Linked DNA regions of Nothobranchius furzeri. The main gene of each other region encodes a partner of the protein of the gene in region 2 in a complex. Links are inferred from orthologs where the notes say so. Each region holds a gene or a part of one and is shown on either strand. Other genes may lie near its edges.

Region 1 (7,259 bases), on a different chromosome or scaffold from region 2:
ACTGATACAGCAGCCCTACCTTGTGTTGATTTGAAGCCAAGGAAATTTCCAAACGCTCTAGGTAATTGTAAGGAACAAGTCCTCTCTGTAATCGACATCATACTGGATAATAATCAATAGAACTTAAAAACATAAATTACTAATTCAGCCCATCCCTGATTTTAGTCCTACTCTTTCATTGAAGACCACGTAGGCCCAGTTGTCGTCACCCTTCTGCAGCACAAACACAATGTTTCCTGGCACAACAGCCAACTCATCACTGGTCTCAGGGTCAAACTCAAACAGCACGGTGTGTGGTTCTCCTTGTAGAGCTCTGTGGAGACGAGATGTCCACATGTCCTCGTGAGAAACAGAACAATTAGAATATGATGATTATATTTTATCTGCTGTTTGGTTTATCTATTTGGGACATGTTCACTTTCAGATCACAGCAAAAGAAAATCTAATACATGTTCAAACTGACCTCAAAACTTCTGGTTCTTTTGGAGAAGTTGGACCATCTTCGACCTAACAAAATACAGGACTTTCACTTTTAACCACCATTGCAAAAAGGCTTTATATTTCACATCGTAAAGAACTAATGTACATATGACGCTGCTCAGACTTCCCCTCGTCATGAGTGGATTTGATCTGCCCTGGTATATTAGAGGCTAATGAAACATTTATTTATCTTCTGAGGACTTTATTGGTCTCAGTTTGATTTGATTCCTCACCTGCGGTTGTAGCGGGGCAAACCCAGAGAACTCATCTTGTGGAACCACAGAGGAAACAACCTAATGTTTCGAAAAATACATTTTAAATGGAGTTTTATGCCGTTCTTCATCAATAATATATATCTGTAAATCTGAATAATCCACAATTAAAATGGATTATGTTAAAATCTGTGATTGTTGGTCTGGTTGTTATATGCATACCTTAGCTTTGCCCAGGTAGTCCTTTTTCTCCAGCTCAGCCACATAGTGCTTGTTTGGTCTAAACAGCATTTTCAAAGGGAATTCCACCGGTTTGAAAAGCTTTTGTTTCTGTCAGAAAAAAAAAACACATATTGAAAAGTATTACTTAAATTAATTTGAAAGATTTTGGGATTTTAGAAGATTCACTTACAGTGGGGCAAAAAAGTATTTAGTCAGCCACCGATTGTGCAAGTTCTCCCACTTAAAATGATGACAGAGGTCAGTAATTTTCATCATAGGTACACTTCAACTGTGAGAGACAGAATGTGAAAAAAAAATCTATGAATTCACATGGCAGGATTTTTAAAGAATTTATTTGTAAATCAGGGTGGAAAATAAGCATTTGGTCGCTTCAAACAAGGAAAATCTCTGGCTCTCACAGACCTGTAACGTCTTCTTTAAGAAGCTTTTCTGTCCTCCACTCGTTACCTGTATTAATGGCACCTGTTTGAACTCATTATCTGTATAAAAGACACCTGTCCACAGCCTCAAATAGTCAGACTCCAAACTCCACTATGGCCAATACCAAAGAGCTTTCGAAGGACACAAGGAAAAGAATCGTAGACCTGCACCAGACTGGGAAGAGTGAATCTACAATAGGCAAGCAGCTTGGTGTGAAAAAATCAACTGTGGGAGCAATTATCAGAAAACGGAAGACATACAAGACCACTGATAATCTCCCTCGATCTGGGGCTCCACGCAAGATCTCATCCCGTGGGGTCAAAATGATCATGAGAACGGTGAGCAAGAATCCCAGAACCACACGGGGGGGGGGGGGGGGGGGGGGACCTGGTGAATGACCTGCAGAGAGCTGGGACCACAGTAACAAAGGTCACCATCAGTAACACACTACAACGGCAGGGAATCAAATCCTGCAGTGCCAGACGTGTTCCGCTGCTGAAGCCATTGCATGTCCAGGCACGTCTGAAGTTTACCAGAGAGCACATGGATGATACAGCAGAGGATTGGGAGAATGTCATGTGGTCAGATGAAACCAAAGTAGAACTTTTTGGTATAAACTCAACTCGCCGTGTTTGGAGGAAGAAGAATACTGAGTTGCATCCCAAGAACACCATTCCTACTGTGAAGCATGGGGGTGGGAACATCATGCTTTGGGGCTGTTTTTCTGCTAAGGGGACAGGACGACTGATCCGTGTTAAGGACAGAATGAATGGGGCCATGTATCGTGAGATTCTGAGACAAAACCTCCTTCCATCAGTGAGAGCTTTGAAGATGAAACGTGGCTGGGTCTTCCAACACGACAATGATCCCAAACACACCGCCCGGGCAACAAAGGAGTGGCTCCGTAAGAAGCATTTGAAAGTCCTGGAGTGGCCTAGCCAGTCTCCAGACCTCAACCCCATAGAAAATCTGTGGAGGGAGTTGAAAGTCCGTGTTGCTCGGCGACAGCCCCAAAACATCACTGCTCTCGAGAAGATCTGCATGGAGGAATGGGCCAAAATACCAGCTACTGTGTGTGCAAACCTGGTAAAGACCTATAGTAATCGTTTGACCTCTGTTATTGCCAACAAAGGTTATGTTACAAAGTATTGAGTTGAATTTTTGTTATTGACCAAATATTTATTTTCCACCCTGATTTACAAATAAATTATTTTAAAATCCTGCCATGAGAATTCATGGATTTTTTTTCACATTCTGTCTCTCACAGGTGAAGTGTACCTATGATGAAAATTACTGACCTCTGTCATCATTTTAAGTGGGAGAACTTGCACAATCGGTGGCTGACTAAATACTTTTTTGCCCCACTGTATCTTCTTCCTTCCAAAACCCAAATAGCCAACACCTATGCTGATAAAATGTTGATTTCTAAACATATGTGGATGTGTGTAATTGAATTATATTAATGAAGTGTAACCGTATTTTATGAGAGGATGATCGTAACTGACCAGGGTTGACTGCAGAGCCCTGTCGATGAGGCTGAGCTTGGCATCTGTCTTGTAGTCCAGTGCCTTGACCAGGTTTTCCTGGGCCTTTTCCCAGCTACCCAGCTTAGCTTCAGCCAGGGCAAGATTGTGGAGAACCTGAAGCAGGAGGTGTCGACGTGACACTGAGTTAGGAGCTTTTCAGTCACACCGTCTTATCAGGTTTATTTGAAGCCCTCATATTGAAAACTGAATTAGGAAGAGCTGAGGCTTCAACGGTTTCCTCTTTGCAAGAATATATAAATCACATTGAAAATGAGGAATTACCATCATCAGCCAGCTTTATTTTAACCTCAGATTTCTGACGGACAGTAGAGCTAAAGCTCACCTCACAGGCATATAGGATGTATCTGAGACCTAGTGCTTTGTAATCGATCAGCTGGTTACCCCTCAGAGCTTTAAAGGCTCTCTGGAAATCAGCTGAACTCTCCTCATACCTGTGACCAAGACAAGTAAAGGTAATAATTATTACACATAAGGCAAGTTTTATAAAACATTTGATGTAATTTACCTTTTCTTTTTGTAAAATGTCATTCCCCTCTGAAAGAAGGCAACTGCCAAATGCTCATCCTTGCGAATGCTGCAGTCAAACGCCTGAGAAATAACAGGTAAGAAAATAACTTCCTCTAAAGGAGCAGAAAGCCGGTGACACCACTTCTTCTTTCACTGTGACTTGCACTTTCAGAAACCTCTATAGGGAGCCTAAGTCACGTCCTTCCGGACCATGGGTCCTCAGCTGCCAAGAAAATTGAAATTGAATATTTTCTGATCCTGTTTGATCTGTTCAGGGGACCCGTGAGCCAACCGGAGGGCTCCTTATATCTGACACGTTTCATCTCAGCCTTGCCAAATAAATCCAGATGATTTTACTTTCTTACGTGCACAGACTTGCAGATTTGATTTAAAATAAAGTAGATCTAACGTACCTTTTCAGCATCATCCAAGTCTTGGTTCAGAAGATGAAGGCAACCAATGTCAAAGTAAATTTTGGAATTTGGTTCTTGAATGGATAAGAAAATGCAGAGGGCTTCTGACCATTCCTGTCTGTCGGCACAAGTTACAGCTTTGTCCCACTGCCGCAGAGTGTCCACATAAGACATGTTTGTTGGCTTACCAGCACACTGATTCTACATTGAGGAAGTTCTTCTTATTTGTACCAGTGAAACTGGGAAGTGTGATGACAGCTGTTACGATTTACAAATGCATCACAATCAGCTCTAAGTGCTAAAGCCACATTTAAATTATTTTCTCCCGTTCAGTGCAATAATTGCACTCTAACTTACTGCTGATGTACCAAACAATTTGCACATTGTGTCCAGGAAATATGTATATTTTTATATCTACTTTTTCAGATGGTCTTGTGTTTATTTTTTATCTGGTATGTCAAATGCTCTATTTGAGTTCCATCAATATTAGCCTACAGTTAACAAAAGCTTTATGATTTAGATTCTAGAGATTTTCTATCTTTGAATAAATTGTGGGTTTAAATGTGTGTGTGTGTGTGTGTGTGTGTGTGTGTGTGTGTGTGTGTGTGTGTGTGTGTGTGTGTGTGTGTTTAGCTCTAAACTAACGTTGGCATTTTATAAGCAGAAAAGCTTGAGATGCATAATGAAAAATGTTTCACATCTAATTGATTTCTAGTATTTTTTAAATAATTATTTTTTAACTTTATTTTGTAAATTTACAAACAAACATGGCACTTTGACAATGTTAAATCCAAAACTCAAATTGATTTCCAGTGTTGTAACGACCTTAACTTTGATGACATTCAGACATTTTTACTGAAATAAGTAATGTTCAGATTATTGTTTGTTCTTCTTTAATAATTCTAAATTTATTGAGCTGCAATATTTATTTAGTAAATATATGATGTGTTTTTGTGCCAAATGCACAAAAACAACTTCCGGGTTTTTCCTTTCAAAATAAATTTCTTGTGACATGACTATAATCACAAAATACTGGTGCGTTTTCTTACAACACTAACATCATATTATAAATGTGTATTTATATATTCTCAAGGAATTCAACGATTTCGCCTTTCAATAATAACGTATCTTCTTTACTTGAATGTATAAAATGCTCTTATTTTGATAGAGTAAAAACGTTTATCCGTTAGCTCATCGCTAGCTAAACAAACATGGCTCTACTACACTTTCGGAGTACGAACCTTTATGATGCGTAGAACAAATGAAAATTGGAGCTATGTAAGGATTAACAAGAAATAAGTCATGTTTGGTATGACTGTTTAGATTAAGTTGCTATATTATTTGTGTTGGTAGCTCGGAGCACCCTTTTGTGTCCGTATTTACACACAGCTAGCTCCAGAGTTGGCTAATGTGAGCTAACAAGATGGACCTTGGAACAATGTTGTACAATAATTTGAAAGATGTTACTTGGAGCTCAACGTCTTTACCTTTGGATCAGCTTGTCAGTGCATATAAAATGCCCCAAATCGTCAAACTGGACAGCGGTTAGTAACTTTGTTATTATGCATTTAAAGCAGTCATCTTTGCGCTAAACATCAACAAACTGTTAAGTTGGTGTTTATATATATATATATATATATATATATATATATATATATATATATATATATATATATATATATATATATATATATATATATATATATATATATATATATATGTATGTCTTAATGATGCTTACATTCTCAAGCATTTTGTAGCCAAAGTGCTGCATCTGCTTGACAGACTACATTATTGTACCACAGCAACTTTTTATTATTGAATGCTTTCATGCATCCTCACATCACAACAAAACATCTTGATTTATGGTCAGCACTGATCCGCTTCTCAAGACTGCATTTATGTCACTCTAGACTATCTGAAGCATTGAAACTGTCAAAATGAATAATTAAACAGATGTATCAGCCACAGTCACATTTAGTTGTCTATTAAATAGATATCTTTATTTTAAACTCTACCAAACTGCCTTGTTGCTGTATTATAATGTTCAGAAATCTGTAAGATAACCGAAAATCTTTTTATTTTATTTTATCAAATGTCATTCTAATCACAGCCAATAAGTAAAAAGTTTCCTATATAAGGAACCCAGCAGGTTGCATCGAGTCACTGACTAGTGTCAGAGTCTTTACAGCAATCCTCATACTAAGCAAGCATTTAGCGACAGTGGAGAGGGAAACTCCATTTTAACAGGAATAAACTCCAGAGGATCCTGGCTCAGTATAAGCAGCCATGTAAATTTGTTACTGACTCCTGCAGGTGCGCAGATATTTTACATGTTATGCACAGAGAACATCGCAGAGGTAATCAAGATTTCTATCAGTGCATCTGAGCATAATCTCACACTTTCTCCTTATCTTGCTGCTGACAGTGTGCCCAAGTAGTGCGCTGAAGGGAGCTCAGAGAGCGTCTGGCGCACTCGACATCGTGCACAATAGCGCAGTGTTGAGTGGAAACCCTTCTATCTTTCCGAGAGTCTGGTATACTTCTGTTTATGTGTCATTAAATAATTAGATTTTTAAACTTTGGCTTAAATAGTGCTTGTTATCCAGCAATTGCCTTGAATCCAGCGTGTCAGCGGACCGCAGATTCATCCATAACAACATTTAAACATCCACAAGTCTGTCTGAAACAAAAGCCCAGAACCTCATAACCTCTTCAGCAAACTCCCTAGAGACATTTGATTACGCACAAGCTGGAGGTGACCTGTTAATGTTTACGTACAGGCCAATGCAGGTAAAATGTTCCTAATTTAAGTGAATTGTTTAATTGCATGTTTTATATGTTACAGGGGCACTCTGCTCAGCTTGTTTGGACTAAATATTAATTTTAAATGAATTAAAATTTAACGGTATTGAAGGATGAATGGATGATGCAACCTCTGGCTGTGAGCAAGTGCTCCCTCCTTGAGTGCATCCAAATGCAGCAGCGATTCATTTCATTTCCTACTCACACTCATAAAAGAAAGAACCAGGTAGCCTATGTTCAGAAAAAAAAAACATTTTGTTTAACCCTCCCACTGTCCTAATGGGTGTGACTCCGCAAGGAAAGTTGACCATTGAGTGGAGTTGATGGTTTTAACCTGTTTTTAGAAACAGGCTCAAGACCCTTCTTTTTAGCTTAGCTTTTAACTGATTACTATCACTTTTTAAATAAATAAATTAGGTTATTTATTTATCTATTTGTTTCTTTTATGTATTCTTTTTTTTAACAGAGCTTTTAGTTATTTTATTATTTTTAAATGTCTTAATGGTCTTGGGCCTTCTTATCTCTCAGAACTGCTTCATAAATACGAGCCTTCGCGGTCGCTGCGCTCCTCTGGCAGCCGTCTCCTAGTCATTCCAAAAGTCAGGACACACTCCCAAGGCGAGGCGTCCTTC
Region 2 (7,018 bases):
CAAAACAGGCAAAACCATAAGGACATGCTTTCAGTTAAAGACCAAAACTGTGTTTGGAACATGTAGTATAGATATGTTTGCCTACAAACATTCTGATAAAATAGCTTTTAAAACATGCATACGTTTGAATGACTGATATAAGAAATAAGTCATATTGTCTTGTGTTTGTGGACAGATTTATTCTGAATGAAATCTACTTTATAAACTACTTTGTTCCACCAAACTTTTACTTTAACAGTCTTACACAACACTTCCTGCTCACCAACTGTCATCAAAATATTGTATGTGACTAGTTCCTTGTGCTTAGAATAACAGTTGGGGAAAACACAGGAAAATGAACTCAGACTGTATAAAATGTTATACGTGTTGCAAACTACTTACAATTCTTGTATTTTAGTGCTAGGTCTCATACCACCCCAGGTTGATTAAGGAAGCACCTGTTATTTCCCAACAGGCTGTAATTGCTTGACTAATCAGCTGTGACTACAAAACCCAGAAACAAATAACTTTAAGACTCAAGAAATGGAGATTGAGCTGCTGAACCTGTTTGACTTGAAGACATATAAATACATACATTTTTTCCCTCAAAGGAAACTTATGAAAACAAAGCCAAGGAGAAGAAAACAGGCCCGAGAGGAGAAAGGGAAATTCTGAGTTACTGAAATACTGTTTTTGCCAAAGGGGGAAGTTGCAAATGTCGCTTCTTTAACAATTTCAAAAAGGGGAAAATAATATCACTAACCTCCAGAAGATGATTCAAAGAAAGCAGATGATTTATTTACAATGCAACTATGATTACTACAACCCTAGCTAGCAACACGTATTTTTAAATGTTAGTAGCAGCTGGATGCAGCCAAAAATAAATGTATGCATTTATTCTGATACAACTGAACAGTGATTCAGTGTTTTCAAGGGAAGCGCAAACATACAGATCAAGTACATGTTAAGTTGTAAGATGCATGAATGATCTTAAAAACTTACTTGACTGGGAAAAATACAGAAACAGAGTTTAACATTCACATTTACCATAATGTCAAAATACAAAGAAAACTCAGAATTTGTTCATTTTACCTTTTGACATTTTGCGTAATGGAATTTTTTCTTCCACAAAAGAGAGAAAAAATAACTTTTTTTTCTGAAAAAAATGTAACATTTTGCTCATTAACTGGCTCCGTTCAAAAGACTTCAGAAAAACTGTTCATGTATGGCCACTGAATCTGGTGGGACCGGTTTGTTGGACATAAATGATGGAGCTGCTGAGCGGCTCGCTAATCGTCAGTAACAGAGGAAGGGTTGTCGTATGCTGCTCCCTCCAGGTCCTTGGCTTGTTTCCTGCGAGTTTCTGGTGGAGGTCTTGGCGGTGGATTCTGGGGAGGATTCTTGATACTTTCAGCAACTGGCTTTCGCACATCCTTACGAGGAAGAATGGGCTCCCAGTGCTCACCTCGGATCGCTGCCTGGAAGACAAGAAAGTGTCTGTAATGGGTGGATGTTATCCATCCTGTTTAATGAGCCCCTTGTATGCAAAGTTGTTTAATGCTCACATTTGTGTGCCAATGTGAGATAAACAAAGCCAGATATGTTATTTTTCTTTAAAGTAGATGATGAGGAATTCAGGCACACCCCTGACTGGTAGCGTTTCAAAACTACAGGGACATGTCTCAACTGAGGAACAAGTGCGACACATTCTCTTCCTCGTTCACCACTTCCTTTCTCGATGCTTATCAAAGTTCACGGTAATTAAAAAGCTTAACGGGAAAAATAAATCCTCGTCAAGCCTCCAACTTACTGCAAGGTAGATGAGGCTGGCGATGCCGAGGCAGACACACCCGAGCACAGTTGCTAGCATAAACCCTCCAGGTACACAGATTCTTAAAAATACAATGGAGATGATGGAGTGTAAGTCAAACAGCCATGATGTTCTAAGGGTTTTGTTCAAGAGACTGGCGAGGAATGTTGTCTAGCCAAAGGAAGATGGTTAAGATAACAAAGTCAATCAAGCAAATTGTTTAGGCTGAGTTCACACTTACGCAGCGTGCAGGAACGCTCTAACATAGTAGTTCCTCGTTAGTGGTCCGAAGGCTTTGACACACACTGTGAAGCAGTATTGGCCCCTGATAGAACACAATAATCGTAATAATGTGCAGTAAAGACAGAACTTCACAAACACATATTTGCAGAAAAAAAACAACAACATTGCTTACGATCTTTCCACACTTGTCCCTTTGGCCCGCTTGCTTCTGGGATACTCAAGAAGACACACAAACACTCCGGCGGCACTTGTTACTGGTTAAGGATGCTACTTCCACCATTTTACAGATTTTAGCAAAAAATGCCAAATGGGCCATCAGTGTGATTAAAAAACCATTCAAATGATCACGATCAGCCTTTCTTATAAATGAACCTTTAATCACTCTGTTTTTTTATTCAGTAAGAAGTTAAAATCACATGAAAGAAGTTTATGCAGAATTTTGGTAGAAATGAGTTTCATGAGTGAATAATAAGTTTTAACAGGACGTCTAAAAATGAGATTAAGTGAATGTTTCCATCAACGAAAAAAACTTAGTTTTGGACAGTCTAAATTGAACAATAGCCCTTAACTGGTGTGGTGTAATCTGAAAAAGTTTCTATGAAAGGTTCTAAGAAAAGAAAAAAAGTACAGTGTTCTTATATGCCGTAAACGTTCTTGTAAGTTTGATGTTTCAGCGAAAGGAGGATGTGGTGTAATCTGTTTGAGTGTAACTGGGTTTTATGGTGAAGGGGGAGAGAGGGGAAGTGATTCAATAAAAGTCGGAGTTTGGGTGCTCGACAAGGTGTCACTGGAATCCTTGATAAAAACACGACAACTGGGATAAAGAAGTACTCTTGCATTTATCATAAGGAAACACCAGCTGTAGAAACAAGAGTTGTACAAAAATCTAATTTTTTAAATATTTGTAACCACGACAGCAACAATATACAGGAAAGTGTTTAATAAATTAAAAATAAATGAATATTTTATACATATTTGCCCATCGTGTTAAGTGTTAGCTGCTGTTTCGTGTCATTTTAGACCTAATTGTGCACTCAGCTATTGGTTAAACTATTATAACTATGATACTACACTAATAAATATAATTTGATTTACCCCACCAAAGCAGCTTTTGCTAATCAAATCTATTAAGCCTGATAGGTAATTACACAGCTTTAACTTCCCAATAGCAGCAGAATAAATGAAATAAAAACAGTGCTATTTAAAGACTCGCCTGAACAGGTTTGGTTTATTTCATTATAAAGGATACACCGCATAAGCAGCAAACTCCCAGCCTCTGAACTGCCCTGCAACCCCCACTATTCCTCCAGCAAGAAGAACTGAAAGAAGGAAACAGGAAGGTGAAAATCTAACAATATACCTTTTGTCACTCCATGCAATGAGACAAGCCCATGTGCAACTGGACAACGATTTACAACAAATCGTTTTACAGGAAAGCAAAGATTTATTTTGTAAATTAAAAAACTGCTGTTTTAAATAAATTATTAAAATAAAAGAAAACGTGAAAATAAACTTTTTTCTTCTTCTTCACTTCAGACGAAGTTATTAAAATACTCACTGAGTCCCGAAGCCAGAGCCTGCTCATTGGCCCACATGGCCCACTCTATCTTCCCCATCGTGTCCACCTGCGAGCAGAGCTGTTATCTCTACAAGGACGAAATGTGTTTACGTGAGGAGCTGAACAGATGCTGGGAGGAGGCTGGCCTCTCGTTTCAGTCGTCATTTCCGATAAATAGTACAGGAGTGTCGAGAGGAGGGGTTAATTTTATCCAACTTCCCGGACAGGTGCGACGAAAGGCCGAAAAAAAAATACGGACGTACTTGAACGCAGCACATTGCACTCTGTCAGTGTGGGTTTTGTTCTTTTAAACAAATACATTGTATCGTTTTTGTTTTCAATGATTTTACTTTTAGCGTAGTATTTTTACCTGTTGTTAAATTTGTCATTCCCATCGTTTTCTACACCTGTTTTTTTCCACAGTAGGATCTCCAGGGGGAAGGAGGTGGGGGAGACACCCTGGACAGGTCACCAGCGATGGTTTTTCAGCCATCACTGGGACACACAGAACCAGCCACACAATGATCCACATCTAGGAACAATTAATGGCTGTCAATTAAACTGACATGCACTCCACACAGAAAGGCTTCAACTGGGATTCGAACCTGTGACCTACTTGCAGAAATGTACCAGTGTTGTCACCCTCATACCGCCCCACCTCCTTGAACAATACTCAAATAAAAAAAAGCAGTGTTGCAAACACATTACAGTAGCAACAGCAATAAAAAATAAGACAACCTGATAACATTCAGACTAAAATACATTTTACTGACGTTTCATTAACAAACCTGATGCAACAAAGATTGCACTTTGGACAGGCTCGGTCCAAGGCATATGCAAACTATGATACAAACTAAGCGACTTCTTTGGTCCCCCACATCACCAGGGGGCCCCCAAGAGCATCAAGATGACACAAGTAAAAATGTTTTAATAAATTTAAATACCAACTAAATAATATTCCACATGAAAAAATAATACACAATGTATCTGTATTATTTTCTGTTGTGTCATTTGGTTTTATTTTGTAGTGCAGCACTCTTTACAAATTTTAAGAACAAAAGATAGTAAACCTAAAATTTTTACTGTGAATTCAGTGTTTGTCTGCCGATGTTTCTATAGCTGAATTAATATACCACACTTAAATAACAATCTTCATTTAAAAAGGCTAATTAGAGCATTTTTGGTGGTTTTCTGCTCTGATAAACTTAAAATCAATATACACAATAACACAGGTTTGATGTAAGCCAGTTACAAAATATGCTAATAATAGTGGGCATGTTATAATGGTGCAGCTTGGGAATGATGAATCATCTAGTGTAGACTTGTTGGTGTGGAGGGTCCCCAAGAGAAACCAGTTTAGGGCCCCACAAAGGCTTGGGCCGGCCTGACTTTGATCTAAAAGACTGATTTGTTACATTTTTAGATTCAATAATAAGGTTCCATCACTGCTCGTGAACTTGTTTCCTCAGGAGTCTCACAAAGCTTTCTTAGGGAATCCATCAGGTGAGAGCAGGTGCTGAGAGGAATCCTCGATGATACAAGGACCTGGTCCAGCCTGAAAAGAATCACAAGATAAGATAAAGTCATTAGATCAGTCATTCTCTGTTGGTTACATATTGATTTCTGAGTATCTGTGAACCTTTGTACTGATGATGTAGTTTATCCCATTTGGTGTGGGCTCCAGACCAATGGCCTCTTTCAGCTCCTCAGAGATAGCAGCACCTTTGACTGGAAGACCTTTAATAAAGCTGAAGATAAACAGACGTGTGAAAGCTCTCTTCTACCACTTAACATTCAGCAGTTCCTTGGAAAGTTTGCCTTTTAGACTTTTATTGTGAATTTTCCCACATGGATCCAGCTATTTATCAAATTCCCTGATCAGATGACAAGAACTACCTGTTGTTCACCAGAAACGGTGCAAATAATCTTTGGTTTCACCCGACCAATAATAAATATATTATTCTCAGCAAAGCCCTGCAAAGTGAAAAATGTGCAGCTCCTTTCTGGCTCTTTAATAAAATGTTGAGTTAGGTCCTACCAGCTTGCGTGGGGTGAAGATATCTGATTGTTTAAGTTGTTAATTTTAACTAGAGGCCGGCCGATGTGTTCTTTTTAAGGCAGATACCGACACCGAGTTTTAAAGAATTTTGTTGCCAATGGCCAATATCTAAAGCCGATTATTAAGGCTGTTATTTACACGTTTTAGCAGCACATTGGTTGTGAAAGACAACTGAACTCTCACTGTGTGCAATATAAATGAAATAAGTCAATAAATTTAATATTTATTGAACTTCAAATATAAAACAAACTCAAAACATTAAAAAAACGGTGTTGGAGGTCTTTTAGGCCTTTTCTTCAGTCTTGTAATGGTAGCAGTTGGCCACATAGGTGTCTGATTTTTTTTAATCTGCTTTTTAAAATAACTTTGGCCGATGGCTGATACAGAAAAATTTGAATATATCAGCCGGCCTCTAATTTTAATCAAATGGGTCTAGTTTAATTCTAATTTGCACAGATATGTGTTTGAGCCACAGAAAAAAATCTGAGCATGATAAACATGGATCCTGGCCGCTTTCCTGGACAAAACTGGTCTTTCGGTATCGCTCAGTCTTACCTAAACAATCTCATCTTATTGGACTGAGGTCATGACTTTTTTCCTGGCATGAACAGTCTATAAAAACAGGCTCACATTCTTCGAATCATTGACCATATAATTCAATTTAGTAATATTCTTTAGTTCAAATGAGAAAAAACTTGAGCTGAATGCATTCTGAATCCACTCTTAACGATAGGTATGGCAAACTAATTAGTTTCATGGGGAAAAAATCTGAAAAAGAAGACTAACAAACAAGTTTCTGGATTTAGCGTACTCTTCTCCGTTCGTGTCTGGGGGGAAGAAATGTTGAACCACCCGGACAAACTCTGGAACGTGCTGCTGTAAGGTGAAGATCACCGCGTTGGGCCCGGCATCAAAACTGTAGGCCACCTATCAGAAAGAAAACAGAGTGTGGCAGTCATCTCAAGAGATGAACTTTCTTGTTCCTCATTCTAAAAAAAACTACCTCAGAAGGTTTCACATCTTTGTTATAAAATCTGAGAAATTCAGCTGCAGGGATGTGTATTTTTGAAATTCTGGCGATACGATACATATCACAATACAGGGGAGACGATACGATATATCACAATACAGGGGAGACGATACGATATATCACGATATATTGCAATACATTCAGTCAGATGTTACAAGCAATTTTTTAAACCAAATTTATTGTAAGAATGTTCAATAAACAGTCCAAACTGATACGTAACATGTTTAACATGAGGTATCTGAACCATGATGGAGGCATTTACATTTCATTGGTGGAAACAAAACCCGTTGCCAACTAGCAGGTGACGATTAAATTGCACAAAACGAAAAGAAAATACAC
Region 3 (7,032 bases), on a different chromosome or scaffold from region 2:
TTAGCTGTGCTCAAAATCAAACACTACTCTCAAATCATAAACAAATTACTCAAAATGACATACACCATCAAGCAGTCAGTAAACAATACACCAAAAAATAGAAAGCACAATGTTCAGGGCCATAAGATTTGTTTATTGTACCATATAGAGCCTATTGTGCTACAGTGTTCAATGACAGTGAAAAAAAATACATAAAATGAAAAACATCAAAGGACTAAACATGTTATCAATGGGCCTCTTCTTGTCTGTGGGCTGGGTCAGGCCACAGCTCTTCATCGACATCACATGCAATATTTTCCCTCCTGAGGCTCAAATTGGGTTGCACTCCAAGTCCTGCTTCCCTCATTGTCAGCCCATGGACAACAACACGGTCTATGATTGTTGCTCAAATTTCATTGGACATTTCCACTCTTTGTCTCGCTCTTCCTCTTCATCCTCCTCTTTCTCTTTCTTGCCCTCCTCCTCATCCCCCACCTCGCATACACACTCGTCCTTGTCCTCTCACATGAATTCTTCTATCCATTGTCACACTTTCTCATTCCCACCTTCAACAACCTGTTTGCTCTCTGAACTTGCTTATATTGGTCGTCACGTCATTTGAAACAAGTGAAATCTAATTTGACTGATTGTGTTCAATCAATGACATTTGTGCTCTTGTTATGGGTAAGTGTGTGCCACTTGTGTTTACCATTATGGACGACGTGTACATTAGAGTGCAGAATGGGTTTTAAGAATGAGAATGTGTTTAGAGTTTTGCTAAACCGTGTGAAATTGTTTAAGGTTTTGACAACAGGCTCAACGGTTAGCTTAATGAGTTCAAGCAACTGAGAACTTTCTTCAGTCAATGGATTTTAGAGTTTTAGCAATTGATAAAAACTGTAATGGTAACAACTACACACTGTCTCTTTAAGAAAACAAGCTAGAGCTGGCCACGCCCACCCATGCCTACCCATCTCCCACTCTGGTTGCTATAAGCTGAGAAGCTCCGATATCTGACAAGGGCAGGAAAGATGCTAATCATCTAACTTGAAGAGGTGAGGAGTGTTTCCATGTAAAAACAAACAAACAAACAAAAAAACGTAAGATTCATGGACTTTTTGGAACAGCATGTTTTAAGGGGCATAATTTCTAAACCAAACTGAGAGATGGATGGATGTTTTTTAATGTTTGGAGCATTTATACAAGCAATAGGGACACATGTCACAGCATTAAAGGATGGAAAAGATGATTTTTGCATAATATGTTCCCTTTAAGATGTTTGTTATGCACATGTTTAGCTGTAGCCTGAGCAGTGACCATTAACACTGCTAGGTTAATTTTTTGCAGCATATTTTTAAAATAAATATGTTCACAGTTTGAGATTTGGCAGCACTTGTAACATGGTCTACAAAGAAATAATCAAAGTAATGTTTTTTATATTTGTGTGGAGTTTATTCATTTGTTTCTCACAGTTACTGAGATTATTAAAAAAATCAGATTTAATAGTTAAAATTGAGCTTTAATAGTTTAGTTGAAATGGTCTTCCAGGTCACGTGTATTACCGGTATCTAATTTTGCACAACTGATTACATCACAGGAATACATGACGACATCTGAACACAATACCACCAGTAAGACTTGGTGTGTCATAATTTCTCACTCAGAACAAAATTCCGTTCTTATCAAACTAATTATTTTTTTACTGCTTTACATTGTGGCTCTAATTATAAATGGCTAATAAATAAAAATTTTAAATTATTAATAAATCTGTAACACAATAAATTATGGTCAGTGTTTATTATACTTTAAAAGGGGGAAAAGAGAAAAAAGTGACCAGCTTCTGTCAAAATGGTGAGCCAAAATAGTGTTCTCTTTCTCGTCCTTAATAACATATTTATAAACTATTTATTAGCCACTCATAAGGGAAACCCTTTGTAAAGTTGTATCTTTCTTTTTACAATTCGTCATTTACATTGCCTCATGTTTACTTTAAGTATCTGTGGTGATTAGGTGGACATTGGTTCTTAAACTAATGGAAAAACCCATTTAGTCTAAGAAATTTAAAATAATACCTCTGTTGCAGTTAAGTTCCAGTGGTGTTATCACTGTTTCTGACTTAACGAGGTCCTTCGCTCAGTTTTAATACATTTGCAGTGGCCTCTAGTAGTAATGAATGCCTTGTGAATCGTACTCTGGGGAAACAAAGCTCTGGCGCGCCTGTTTCGTGCAGGAACTACAAGATTGCCACATCACAGCTGAGCTTCAGCAGGATTTGGAGTCTTATATCCTGATATTTGGACATCTCACCTCTGATTGGATAACAGCAACGCAACCCTACCACTGCTTCTGTTGTGCAACGTTGATGTTTTATTCACAAATAACACCTGAAGGAGTTCTGCCATGTGGTGGACTTGCGAATGCTAACAGATAGCTTCTCCTAGCTGAGACGTTTACTGCTGTTTCCTGCACGCCAAACCAACAACAGCCTTCCCCGTTGCGAGTTAAGCTGGGTGAGTCATGAATGTTAGGTGTGACTATAAATCTCTGGATTAAAGTTTTTACAATGTTTTTAACCAGAACATGTGATCTATTATTTTTTTAATCAAGCTGCCAACTTATGAACTTCTGATTTTATAGTTAAAATTCAAAGTTTTGCAAGTGAACATATAACTGTAAATACATTTTAAAAAGTTACACACAAAGGCTACCTACAGACTCACACACTTCCCTCCAACCTAACACAAGCTTCCTCTTGTCAGACCAGCAAACACGTGTTCCTCCATCATCCCAGCTGTTAGGATTATTTTAAAGGGTTTCCACCACAAAGGCTCAAACTGAAATGGTGGAGTTACAAACTCAGACAAAAGAAAAGAAAACAAAACTCTGCTACAGGAGATGCTTGGATTTTAGTCAGCGTGCTGCAGAAATGACTCATATCACCAGTTTCCACTGACAGATTGTCTTAATTAATTACGAGAATTAATTCTAACAAGTTACTTCATGACCTTTGTCGGAAAAAAATGTTTTCAAAATGTGTTTGTTTTGATCAAAAACCCAATAATCATCCCACACAAATTCCTCTTCATTATCATTTTCTGCGACCCCCCACCTAACCCTGCGGTTCTGATTCCTGTTGCCTTGAGGGAACGAGACCATGTGTACACATTTATTAAAAAATACCTAAAGATACACCAAGCTTCTGTCACGCACACAAGTTCACGTGTTCACACTAACTTCCTTTTCTTCTTCGCTTTACATTTCTAAATCAGACACAACAGGAAGCTCAGCACACAAGGAAGAGCAGCTTCAGCACCTGAGAGGCTCTTCCATCGCTCTAACTGTTATTGATCTCTTAGACACAAAACTAATGTGGCTTTTTATGACAAATGGTCTCTTTACTGTTACTTATTTGTGCTTTAAATATGGAGACATGTTAATAAAGTGGATACTGACACAATTCAAACTTTCCTACACCGTTTCAGCCAAATAAGTTCACATTTCAGTATTTTTGATTATTTCTGTCTGGTGTTCCCCTTAATCAGCTGTTTCTTGACATTTCTCAGCTCCTCCTCAGAAGAAAGGGGGCCTGTGCTAAAGGTTTGCTGCTCAGAAGCATTTTCTACATGTTGTGACCTGCACAGCTCATCCACTTCTCTGATCGGTGCTGTCAAACAAACACCTTGGGACCAACATGTTCTACAAGAAAATTACCCCCAACGAATCCAGACACTGCGGAAGTAGATGCAACTCTTATTTGATTTGACAATTTTGTCCTCCAGTTCCTACATTCTGAACTCAGGTCCAAACATGTCCATCATGAATGATCGGGACCAATTCCGTACCTGTAAACACGGTTTAAGTTAGGACAAATAAAGTGAAGTAAAATGTAGCCGTACCCATCTCCTACGACCACACACTTGATAGCCTGCATCCTGTTCTGCTCAGCGTCGCCTCTTCTCTCTGACAGAGGAAGTTTCAGAGCTGAGCATGCAACTACAGGAAACTGTTGCACACCTCCCTCCCTCTCCGCTCTCTGAGCTACCTCTTTTTTGACAGCCTCCCCACCTGTTGTTTTATAACTCACCCTGCCTTCCTCTACTCCTTTGTTTGTGTAGTTTTCCTCCTAAAATAGACCATTCACTATTTCAGTTATGGGAATTAATTAAACAATACTTTAAGCTGAAATGGATTTAATTTTGCACGGAGCAAAATGAGGAAGGAGTTGAAGTGATAAAAACAGCTTTATCTGAAACTTACTACTTCGTTTGCGCTTCTATGGATGCCGACAATAAACTAAAAAAATATCACCGGAGTCGCTTACCATAAAACACACACACACACACACACACACACACACACACACACAGGCAAAACATGATTGCATTTACACTTTATTTTTATATTTACGCAAAGGTTTGTTATTTTTAGAGTGACACTTGGTGTTAGCAAAACAAAGACTCAAAGCCACCATCTGTAGTCACAAACCAGAGGTGAAGGTAACACCATGGTGTGGCCATCAGGTGGCGCCTTGGCACCACGATAAAGCCTAGACTGGGAAAGGTAAAATGGCCTGTAAAACACAGGTGGCATTCATTTTCAGTTTTTGGGTCATAATGTAATCTACTGGTTTCCTTCTAATGTTTCCTAATAATGTTTTATTTCTAGATAAACAAAAATATAAAAATATTCAAAACAAAGAAAAATCTGATTAATTTTTTACACAATAGAAATTTCTTACTATAATAACTAAATGATGCCAGATTAAAACCCACTTTATTACCTTTACATCAAAGTCCCAGTATTAGAGCTCTGAGTGAATCATTTATTCAGGACCACGTGCAGGGCTGCACGGCGTACTTAAACCAGATGTTTTTGTACTGAAGGATGGTCATATTGTCTGTCTTTGTGCTCATGTGAACCTGTCGTGGAAGAGGAAGAGGTGGGGCTTCAAGTAATTAAATATTTCATTCAGTTGTTGCGCTGGAGGCTGAAGCAGCCTAATGCTCAACTGTGTTGCCAAGGGAGTTTTCTGTCATTTATTTGTTTTTTCATTTGTTTTGGGATATAAATGACAGATTCTAAAATGGGTAAGACCTGATTTAATCTTTTCTTGCTTTACAATGATTATTTAAGATATTTGCTGAAACGTTGCGATGAAAAAAATGTTTCAACTCCCTGATTTCCTAAAGTGGGATTATTTATTATTGTGGCTTGAAACTTAAATCAGATTTTCTGACATATTAGGGATACTATGTCAGAAAATGTTTCAGCAAAACAGTAAAAAAAATAATCACGTTGTAAAAACAAAATAATGAACTTCATGGCATTAATGACACCCCAAAATATCAGTAAAACTTTTTATTTGAATTCCAGCTGTTTAGTCTATCAGCATTCATTGTCATTTTGCTTTCCCTAATAATTAGACATCAAAATGCATTTATACTGTATACATTCCAGTGTCTCAAATTTGAGCCACGGGGGCCTTTTAATAACCGATTGTGTTTAAAAAGAGCTAAGGCTGCAAAGGTTTTCCGCTTGTTACTGACAGCTTGCGGTAGAGAAGCGAAGAAAAAAGACATGCAAACTGTTTTTGTAAAACACTGTTGTGAGCCAAAATGCAGAAGAGAGACTCACAAGACCGTGCGTCACTGACAGTAATACAAAAATAGAAGTTGTCTTCAATTAGATATCTGTATAATTCATTTTTTAAAGGCACAACTCAGAGATTCAGAAGATTCCAGCATAAACATGCATCGCTGTAATCAGGTTTTGCAAAGGAAGGGTGGCCAAGTGGAAGTCTTGTGGTTAGGTCCGTGAGGACAAACAACTTACTCGTCTCACAGGAAGTGCACCCATGTTACCATCTCTTTAACTTTATTAACACAACTCAGTTCATCGTTGCTTTATCTGTTCTGATAAATGTAATCCCATGACTTTGTTTTCTGTCTTCTTATCGTAAAATCTGTTTTCACTGAAGTCAGCTCTCTACCTTCAGCTAATAGTTCGAGAAGACTGACCTAGTAAGATGATTGCAGAAGGAAAGTTTGGGGACGACAAGGTTCTTGTAGAGAACACAGTAGCCACCTCAAAAGCCACAGTTTTTTATTTTTTGGGTCCACTTTAAAGACAAAATGAAAGTTGGTGTGTTTGCACAATGTCAGTGAAATGCAATGAATATTTACAAAAGTATTTTTGATGTAGCATCACTCCCAGAAACAACCTGAGTGATTTACATATGGATGCATGATTACTGAAAGAAGTCAGTTAGGATCAGATGTGCAAAGGAAGCTGGAAATAAATAAAAAAATGACTAGGAAAGGAATTGGGGAACTAAACTAAAAAAGAAATGAAAAGAGGTCAAACTAATGAAAAACTGTAAGCATGGTGAAAACAGTGTAAAACCCTAAACACTGGAATAAGTAAAACAAACATATTTAACAGAGAAAAGGCTCAGTCAGATTCCCAAAAGTGTGAAAAGGTTTGATGTAGAGATATTACAAACAAACAAATCGGCACAAAACCTAATGATTCTTGACCATATATCTCATATTTTTATAAATCCTGATTAGTCATGCTTACGTGGAGGTTTGCCATGCAAGGATTTTTTTTGGACAACACAGCTAAACATGCATGTAACACCCCCAAAAATGTGCCGGAGCCTCTGGCTATGTTCTTCTTTTTTTTTTACTCATGCCTTTTGGTTTAAACCAGATTTTGATTTCCAAAATAAAGATATTTAGTTTCCTTTGACATGTGCCTGCCAGTGGCATCGGTAGTGCTACAAATTGCATTGTGCCCCGTTTTTTACCGGGCTATGCGCTAGAATCCATACAAAGCCACGCCCATCTACTTCTGGCTCACAGGTCCCTGAAAATAAGTATGAAATAACGAAAAAGAGCTGGTTAGGGTTAGGCGAACGAGGCTGCAAAAGCTAAATTTGGAATTAAATGTCTACAAATCAGTTGTTGCACATATGACATCACTGGAGACCCACATGACCAGAATTTATTAGGATTTTCTCCATGCTTAATGCTCGTTCTTTCATCCAAGAAT

Evidence for each region. The genes of interacting proteins can lie anywhere in the genome.
Region 1: cyba (region 2) and ncf2 share a complex: the UniProt entries of both Homo sapiens proteins name them as parts of the phagocyte NADPH oxidase complex. The link is inferred for Nothobranchius furzeri from reciprocal best matches to the Homo sapiens genes CYBA and NCF2.
Region 3: cyba (region 2) and rac2 share a complex: the UniProt entries of both Homo sapiens proteins name them as parts of the phagocyte NADPH oxidase complex. The link is inferred for Nothobranchius furzeri from reciprocal best matches to the Homo sapiens genes CYBA and RAC2.

The regions. Positions count from the first base shown.
Region 1 is NC_091747.1:36,774,595-36,781,853, forward strand, and holds the start of ncf2 (neutrophil cytosol factor 2), read right to left. Parts: upstream 4,019-7,259; 5' UTR 3,997-4,018; coding exon 3,823-3,996; intron 3,491-3,822; coding exon 3,408-3,490; intron 3,334-3,407; coding exon 3,225-3,333; intron 2,996-3,224; coding exon 2,861-2,995; intron 1,023-2,860; coding exon 915-1,022; intron 774-914; coding exon 714-773; intron 508-713; coding exon 464-507; intron 314-463; coding exon 172-313; intron 86-171; coding exon 20-85; intron 1-19. Other genes in the region: garem (GRB2-associated and regulator of MAPK protein 1), read left to right, coding at 5,246-5,366. UniProt on the Homo sapiens protein: Subunit of the phagocyte NADPH oxidase complex that mediates the transfer of electrons from cytosolic NADPH to O2 to produce the superoxide anion (O2(-)).
Region 2 is NC_091749.1:57,595,993-57,603,010, forward strand, and holds cyba (cytochrome b-245 light chain), read right to left. Parts: upstream 3,746-7,018; 5' UTR 3,649-3,745; coding exon 3,591-3,648; intron 3,352-3,590; coding exon 3,282-3,351; intron 2,280-3,281; coding exon 2,205-2,279; intron 2,115-2,204; coding exon 2,031-2,114; intron 1,872-2,030; coding exon 1,790-1,871; intron 1,458-1,789; coding exon 1,269-1,457; 3' UTR 751-1,268; downstream 1-750. Other genes in the region: mvda (diphosphomevalonate decarboxylase), read right to left, coding at 5,065-5,145, 5,230-5,338, 6,461-6,576. UniProt on the Homo sapiens protein: Subunit of NADPH oxidase complexes that is required for the NADPH oxidase activity that generates, in various cell types, superoxide from molecular oxygen utilizing NADPH as an electron donor.
Region 3 is NC_091744.1:131,170-138,201, forward strand, and holds the start of rac2 (ras-related C3 botulinum toxin substrate 2), read right to left. Parts: upstream 4,019-7,032; 5' UTR 3,911-4,018; coding exon 3,876-3,910; intron 1-3,875. UniProt on the Homo sapiens protein: Plasma membrane-associated small GTPase which cycles between an active GTP-bound and inactive GDP-bound state.